2 linked regions of the Coturnix japonica genome follow. The protein of the gene in region 2 purifies or fractionates together with the protein of the main gene of each other region. This does not show direct contact. Links are inferred from orthologs where the notes say so. Each region holds a gene or a part of one and is shown on either strand. Other genes may lie near its edges.

Region 1 (3,818 bases), on a different chromosome or scaffold from region 2:
AAGATGTTGGACATAGGGCATTCTAGGTATACTGGATAAATTGGCATCAAAAGCTTAGTTGTGTTAATTATGAAGTTATGTCTGTATTGTATAGTTAGACTTATGTTTCTAACATAGTGGATGGTTAGGGGTGTAGTGTAGTGCTAAGTTCCCTTAGCAAACAGGAAGATCTGGGAGCATTATTCTCTTTTGATGACATGAGCTCCACAGTTCCAGGCCATGTTGCTGATCAGATGTTTTTGTGTAAGAAAGAGCTTATGTAAGTCTAAATTAATTTTCTTATTCCTCCTTTTTAGCAGTACCTTACCAAATAAGCACAGGGATGTTTGTTCAAAGAATAGCGTTTAGGTTAGTTTTGCTGATTTAATCATGCTAATGTTTTTCTATTTTATGTTTTTTAGATTCCAGAATGTTTGAGGGATAGTTATCCCAAACCCGATCAGCCCTGTTACTTGTATGTAATAGGAATGGTGTTAACTACTCCATTGCCTGATGAGCTCAACTTTAGGAGACGAAAGCTATATCCTCCTGAAGATACGACGAGATGTTTTGGCATATTGACAGCCAAACCAATACCTCAGGTAATGAATTTAGCTCCTTTATTTTATCTAATGTGCCTCACAATCTCATTTTTCCAAGCTGAAGAGTTGGAAATGATCATAAAAGGCAAGAGACGTCTGAATAATGACTTTAATATGTTTTAACTTTTGCTTAGACCTCAGAGGTCTTGATGTGTGTCCCTTCCAACTGGACATGAGTGATGTTTCAAACAGCTGGCAGACTTTCTGTCATTATTATTGTGGTAGCAAAGTGTTAGCAGCAGTCTTTACATACAAATGTCTGAACTGTGTAACTAGTACTCTGTAGAGGAATCCTATTCTGAATTTTTCACTTTTGATTTTTTGATTATTTTTTTTCCCCATATTTAGATTCCTCACTTTCCTGTGTATACTCGCTCTGGAGAGGTTACAATATCAATTGAGCTTAAGAAATCTGGTTTTACTCTGTCTTTGCAAATGCTTGAGCTGATAACACGACTCCACCAGTACATTTTCTCACATATTCTTCGTCTTGAGAAACCTGCACTAGAGTTCAAACCCACAGAAGCTGATTCAGCCTATTGTGTTCTACCTCTTAATGTTGGTAAGAACAGAGGTGCTTTTTTAAATATTCACTTCTAATTCTTTTAGCAAAACATTTTTTAATATTTATTTTAAATTTCAGAGATTAACTGCTGAAATAATGTCGTATGTGGTAGTATGAAGTCTTATGTCAGTATTCTTTTTATTTCTTATTCACAATTCTTAATTAGATTTAATTTGGTGATGTGAGTTGATTTATAGCAAATTCCAGTTGACTCAATAAAGGTGTAAAATCGTACACATATATTTTTGTATGTGTGTATATATATATTTATCACAAGTAAAATAGAAATATAGAATAAGAAAGCACACTGGATAAGAAAAAAGAAGTTGTAATTTACAACTTGTCAGAAAAACTCTTCCTGAAAAACTTTCCTGTGAATAATTGTGTTATACATTTTCCTTTTTGAAGTTGATGACTCCAGCACTTTGGACATTGACTTTAAGTTTATGGAAGACATTGAAAAGTCTGAAGCGCGTACAGGCATTCCCAGTACACAGTATACAAAAGAAATGCCTTTTATTTTCAAGTTAGAAGACTACCAGGATGCAGTTATCATTCCACGGTGAGTAGCAAGGATCTATTTGGACATTCTACAAAATAAGCATGGCTGTGAATGAGATAAGAAAAAAAGGATTTTGTGAAAGCTTAATTACACAACATATTCTTCAGCAAAGAATTTCAGATTTTCACGTAGTATCCAGTGAGCATCACTAAAAGGTGTTTCACAATCCTGGCTTCAGTTTTCTAACATTGTATCTCTATTAAAATAGTTGTGTTCTCCTTAGAAGGCTATGGTGGATTTACTATATTAGGTATTTTAATTTTTGAATTTTAAGCTTATTTGCCAGTGTGGATAGAATACATTTTTTGTATGGGAACTTTGATTCTCTGAACTCTACTGACTCTAGCACAAATAGGAAACCAGATTAAAAGAAGCAAAGTTAGCAAGTGTAATTGGTGTTTGGAATTAAGGAATCATCATTTGCAGAATTACTCTTCAGACTGTTATCAGTATATTTGATTTTGAAGTTGTTAAACCCTCATTTATTTAACTAGTGTTTGAAAATAAAAGCCCTAAATTGAGTTATTTAATGGTTTTTCACTTAATCACATTCAAGCATCAAGAAATCACCACCACAAGCTTTACTCTAAGGATAAAACATGCTACACTGTTCTTTTTTTTAGGTATCGAAATTTTGATCAGCCTCATCGATTCTATGTAGCTGATGTATACACTGATCTTACTCCACTCAGCAAATTCCCTTCCCCTGAATATGAAACTTTTGCTGAATATTATAAAACAAAATATAATCTTGACCTGACCAATCTCAACCAGCCACTGCTGGATGTGGACCACACATCTTCAAGGTAAACAACAATCATATTTCTGTTTGATATTTGAAATACAACAACAAAATGCTATTCTTTTTCCCCTATGTGATAAAGTTAAAGGTTTGTGCTTTCCAAAATACTGTTTTTTCTCTGGTGATACCTTGCATATGTTACACTCAAGTTACAGTTGTATATTGCTTTTATTCTTTTTTTTCCACTTCATAATGCGTTACAGGTGAATTCTAAGAACAAGTCGTCACTTCAGAAAGTTTAAGCTTGTAAGTTTTATTTATTAATAATATACTTACATTAGACTGTTTTCACATGTATTTTAGACTTAATCTTTTGACTCCTCGCCATTTGAATCAGAAGGGGAAAGCGCTTCCACTGAGCAGTGCTGAGAAGAGGAAAGCAAAATGGGAAAGTCTGCAGAATAAGCAGGTAAAATACAAGTATTAATTCAAGTTGCCTCTGCATTAACAGTATCCTGGAGACTACCCTTAGAAATATAATTATATTCTTCCCGTCCCAGATACTGGTTCCTGAGCTATGTGCTATACATCCTATTCCAGCATCATTGTGGAGAAAAGCAGTTTGCCTCCCCAGCATACTTTATCGCCTGCACTGCCTTTTGACAGCAGAGGAACTAAGAGCTCAAACAGCCACTGATGCTGGTGTAGGGGTTAAATCACTTCCTGCAGATTTCAGGTTTGTATTTTTTCAGTATGTTTAAAATCTGACTTCATTGAAAACAAGGGGAAGACTTAACTGCTGTGAGAATTTGAGATTGATAGTCTCTGTTTAACTCAAGTCACTTGTCAGTGACACTGATAATTAAAGACTTGATTGGAAATAGTGACTACAGCATCTAAATTCACTTTTTAACAAGTATGTGCATGTAGTTATCTATAATCTTCTTAACAACGCCAACATGTTCTCTTCACAGATATCCTAACCTGGACTTCGGATGGAAAAAATCTATTGACAGCAAATCTTTCATCTCCATACCTAGCTCCTCTTTGGTAGAGAATGAAAATTACTGTAAGCACAGCACAATTGTAGTCCCTGAAAATGCTGCACATCAAGGTGCTAATAGAACCTCTTCTGCAGAAAAACATGACCAAATGTCTGTGAGTTACAGAACACTGCTTGATGAGTCACCCAGTAAACTCCAAATTGATGTCTCAGCAGAACTTGCAGCAATTAATGGTGTTTCTTATAATAAAAATCTTGCCAATGGCAATTGTGATTTAGTTAACAGAGACTTTTGCCAAGGAAATCAGCTGAATTACTGCAGGCAGGAAATACCTGTACAACCAACTACCTCATATCCCATTCAG
Region 2 (4,337 bases):
TGTGTGATGCTATGTTAACCTTGCTTTGGGAAGCACAGCAAAAACCTGAACTCAATCAGGTGTTAAAACACCACTGCAAACAAGAAAAGAGAATAGGATAATAGTGCAGGGAGCGTTGACGTTCAGGACTGTTGCTTGGTGATAACTATAAGATCAAGGTTTTGGTAATACTGTCCTATGCAGGTCTGAAAGCTGAGTCTGGAGGTTGGGCTTGGTGATCTGAATTGTGATGCATGTGTCAATCAATGGGAAGATGTGCATTCTGTAGATGTAGTTTTTAAGGTGTTTTCGTTTCGTTTTTGTTCTTTTTTTTTATATATATATATAAATAAAGCCTGTTGGCCACTGTTTAGCTCTGTGGTGTGGAGGGTTTTACATGTAGCAACGTTTAAAGAGTCGGGGAATGGGGATGGTTGATATTTAATACAAAATAAAAGGGGCACGTTTGTTCAACAGACCCTACCCCCCCAATCTACCTTTGTGGATGTGCTGTAGGATTTTTCTTGCTCAATAGCAAGGCAGCAGCTCTGCTTTCATTTTCGGAAGGCAGAGTTTGGAGGGCATTGTATCAATACTGTTTCAGCTGCAAGGTTTGATTTTTTGTTTCCTTGTGCATTTGAGGAAAGACCTTGTAATATCACTTCCAGGTTTTCTTACACCTTGCTATTGGCGTTTCCATATTTCTATATGTCTAGAGGCTGAAACTTCAGTGTAAGATGTTTGCATTCGTTCCTTTTTGCCCTACGGTGTAATTTTCGTTTCTATATTGTTAGACTTGTAACGTTGGAGATGGTTATTTGCTGAACTTTGGGCTGGGTGTCTGATAGCAATACGAGGTACTCATTGGAAGCTGTTCTGGGTGGGATAGCGGCCCCATGTTGCGATACGATGCCGGTTGTGTACAATTTGCAATGTATTATTCTATGATTCCGATGATTTCTTTGGATTTTTATTTGGATTTTTAGCCTGCAGGGATATTTTGTGTTCATGTGTCCGAAAATAAAAATAAAAAACAATGATTAAAAAAAGAAAACGGGGTGTTCGTGTGCTCAATGCTGGTCATCCTTTATGTTTAATAATCATGCAGTGGGTAACCTAATTAAGGTGCTTTATATTGATTAACTTGGCATTGCAACTTGTGTTGTGCACAGCAGGTTGTGATGTGAAGCATTGAACCAACACAACGCTGCTGGCTGCTGCTTTAACTGAGCCGTATTATTGAGCCCCATTTGGGGTCTGGATGGTTATAAGGTGCCGTTTGGGTCGCGGTTCTGTCCCTTATTGGGTCGGAACCGGCTCGGAACCATCGCATCAGCCCTGAGGTGACGCTCCAAGATGGCGGCGTTGGCGGGGCCGTGGGGCGCCGCCTTTGTTGGGCGCGGGGCCGGGCGGCGGCGGCGCGTGCGCAGTAGGGCGCAGCGTGAGGCGGCTGCGGCGGTGCGGTACCGGCCCCGGCCCAGCGCCCCGGCCCTGCGCTGCCCGCGGCCCGGCTCGGAGCGGCACCCGCGTGGATGGGATGGAAGCGGGACCTTCGGGAGCAGGTGGGGAACGGGGAGCAGAGAGGGGAGTTTGCTGAGGGGGGAACGGGGAGGGAGCGCGGCCTACGGAGGGGGATGCGGGAACGTGGCTGTGAGGCGAAGGGGGGCCGCGCCGCTTCCAGGGCCTGGATGGACGGGGGATGTGGAGACGGTGCGGGGATGTGTGGGGCTCTGCACCGGCACACGGGGCTCATAGAGCCGCTACGGGGCTCTGTCGGGTTGGAAGATGAGCCGGGCCGGGCGGCATCCCACCTCAACACATCCCATCCCACCTCAAAGACCATCCCATTCCCACCTCAACCCATTCCATCCCACCTCAACACATCCCATCCACCTCAACACATCCATCCCACCGCAACACCATGCCCATCCCACCTCAACGAACATCCCATGTTCCCACCCTCAACACACCCATCCCACCTCAATACATCCCAATCCCACCTTCCCAAATCCATCCCACCTCAACACATCCCATCACCACGCAACCATCACCATCCCACCTCAACACATCCCATCCCACCTCAACCCATCCCATCCCACCTCAACCCATCCCATCCCACCTCAACACATCCCATCCCACCTCAACACATCCCATCCCACCATCACATCCCGTGTGGAGCTGCCCATGTCCGTGTGCTGGGTGTTTGGGGTCGATTTATTGTTGGTTGTGTGGAGGATGAGGTCCGGAGCACAGTACTGGGTCAGTAGGGTGAGAGCTGTGCTTCAGCATCCCCTGCTGTGTGCTGGGAGCCTCCTGCTCAGCCCAGCTGTGTGTACCGGGATCATAGAGCACATAGGGGAATGATTTGCTGAGCGTGAGATGGCCTGGAGAGCAATACATGGAGAGCAGTGTATGGGGAGCAGTACATGGGGGGCAGCTTTGAAGCCAGACTTGGTTTCTCCCCAGCTCTCCGTGCTGTTCATCCTTTGCAAGTTTCCTTAACGCTTATAGGCTTAACCGTTGTGTCCCTGTGCAGCTCCTTGTGGATAAACCCACTGCTGGTTCTGGCTGTTGGATCCCTGTATGGTGTGATCACATCGGTGTGTTGCTGGGATAGGATTAAAGTGAGACACAAAGCCTGGAGCAGCACTTTGCCTGGAGGCTGAGCACGTGTGGTTCATCCCTGAGTGCTTTCCGTAGTCTATCTCTAACCCCAGCAAGAGATAAACGATGGGAAGGAGGACAGATGGGGCAGAAAAGCAGTGCTTTAAAGCAGGATGGAGTCAGCTGTGTGTGGGTTTGAAGCTCCCTTTGGGGATAGGTCTGGACTGTGGGGTGTTCACCCCATGGACAGGGTGTACCCTCATAGATGGGCACGTGGAACATGAAGCTGTTTGCCTTTGTCCTGGCTCTTCCCCAGGAGCTGGGAGGATTTCTTTGTCTGTCAGCTGCACTTTCTTCTCTTGTGCTTGGAAAGGCTACACCAGCGTCTGTGAAACTCAGCCTGAACAGATGGGAGAGATGTTATCTTATGGCCTTTCTAGGTGCTGTTAGCAGAAACCCTGGGGCTCACAGTCAGCGAGGAGACGTTGTGGATGAGTGGAGTAGAGAGCAGTGCTGGCTGCCAGGCCCCGGCCCTTCACTGCAGACACAAATGTGTGTATTTCCAGCTCTGCCAGCTGCTGTGAGCTCCTGCACATGGCACAGCCGGGTTAACAGCCTGCAAAGCTCTAGTTGGGCAGCCCTGATGGGTTTAGTGCCACTGCTGCGTGTGTTGGTTCACAGTCCTTATTAACAGCTGCATGAAGCAGCCTTGCCTGTTGATGAGAGCTGTGATGGAGCTGGGAATGTTGCTGCTGTTCTGGCTTTGATGCTGGTGCTGTTGCTTGCTTTGCTTCCTGCTGGGAGTTTTCACTTCTTAGGGTTGATTTAAGGTGGAAAATGGCTCAGGATGAGGTTGGGCTGCACGTTGTGTCTGGGGGCTTTTGTCACACACATTCAGCCCTGCTGCTCTGGTTCTCAGCTCCATCTTCACAGTGCTGGCTGTGCAGGAGGGGCCCTTCAGTCCCTCTTTGGTGATAAAACTCCCTTTTGTCTCAGCCTGTTCTGTGGCCCCTCTCCTGAATGCCGCCTTGGAGAGGATTTAAATGACATGGTAATTTCACGCCTTCCCACCGGTGCTTTGGCCCAGGCAGCTGTTGGTCAGTGGCTTGTGTTTGCCGGCTGTTAGAAGCAGCAGCAGCAGAAACAAAGCTGCTCCCAACGCTGGTGACCCCATATGGACTCAGCCTGGCATTGCTGCCATCCCTGCCCGCTGCTGCTCTTTCATGCACCCAAGGAAGGCCCTGCTGCCCGCCGTGTCCCCAGGCCATGGCTTTGTGTGCCAAAGTCTGTGATTCCTCCCGAGCTGCTGAATTTATAATGGCAGGCGGATTTTGTACCGCTCACTGGCTGCATTGTGCTGCAGGAACAACACTCACCCTGCAGCCCCTGGCCCTCGGCGCCCTCATTTACATCACAAAGTGGGAGTCTGTGCAGCTTTGCCATGGAGAGTCGAGGTATGCGGAGAAACCCCTCAGTCTGGGGATGTTGGGGTCACTCTTCAGTGGGTGACTGCTTCAACTCCTTGTGATCGAGGACCTCTGCAGTGACCAAAATGAAACCCTCTGCTGCAGCACAGACAGCAGCTTTCCCATCCTTGTCACCGCTCTGGTTTGCTGCCCTCATCTTTGTGGAGCTGTGCTCTGCAGCAGGGATGTCCGGATGACTTACATTGCATTCACAACATTCCGTGGCTTATGTTGAACTCCTCAGCCAGCTCTTGTGTCGCTTGAGGCTGTCTCCTTAATCTGTGCCTC

What was found.
Region 1: the proteins of protein argonaute-1 (region 2) and DICER1 purify together in Homo sapiens (co-immunoprecipitation; 7 studies listed by BioGRID and IntAct, with this or other methods). This does not show direct contact. The link is inferred for Coturnix japonica from reciprocal best matches to the Homo sapiens genes AGO1 and DICER1.

Annotation. Positions count from the first base shown.
Region 1 is NC_029520.1:41,574,084-41,577,901, reverse strand, and holds part of DICER1 (endoribonuclease Dicer), read left to right. Parts: intron 1-401; coding exon 402-581; intron 582-929; coding exon 930-1,143; intron 1,144-1,554; coding exon 1,555-1,708; intron 1,709-2,331; coding exon 2,332-2,514; intron 2,515-2,813; coding exon 2,814-2,919; intron 2,920-3,010; coding exon 3,011-3,186; intron 3,187-3,424; coding exon 3,425-3,818. UniProt on the Homo sapiens protein: Double-stranded RNA (dsRNA) endoribonuclease playing a central role in short dsRNA-mediated post-transcriptional gene silencing.
Region 2 is NC_029538.1:3,733,280-3,737,616, reverse strand, and holds the start of protein argonaute-1, read left to right. Parts: upstream 1-1,411; 5' UTR 1,412-1,516; coding exon 1,517-1,541; intron 1,542-4,337.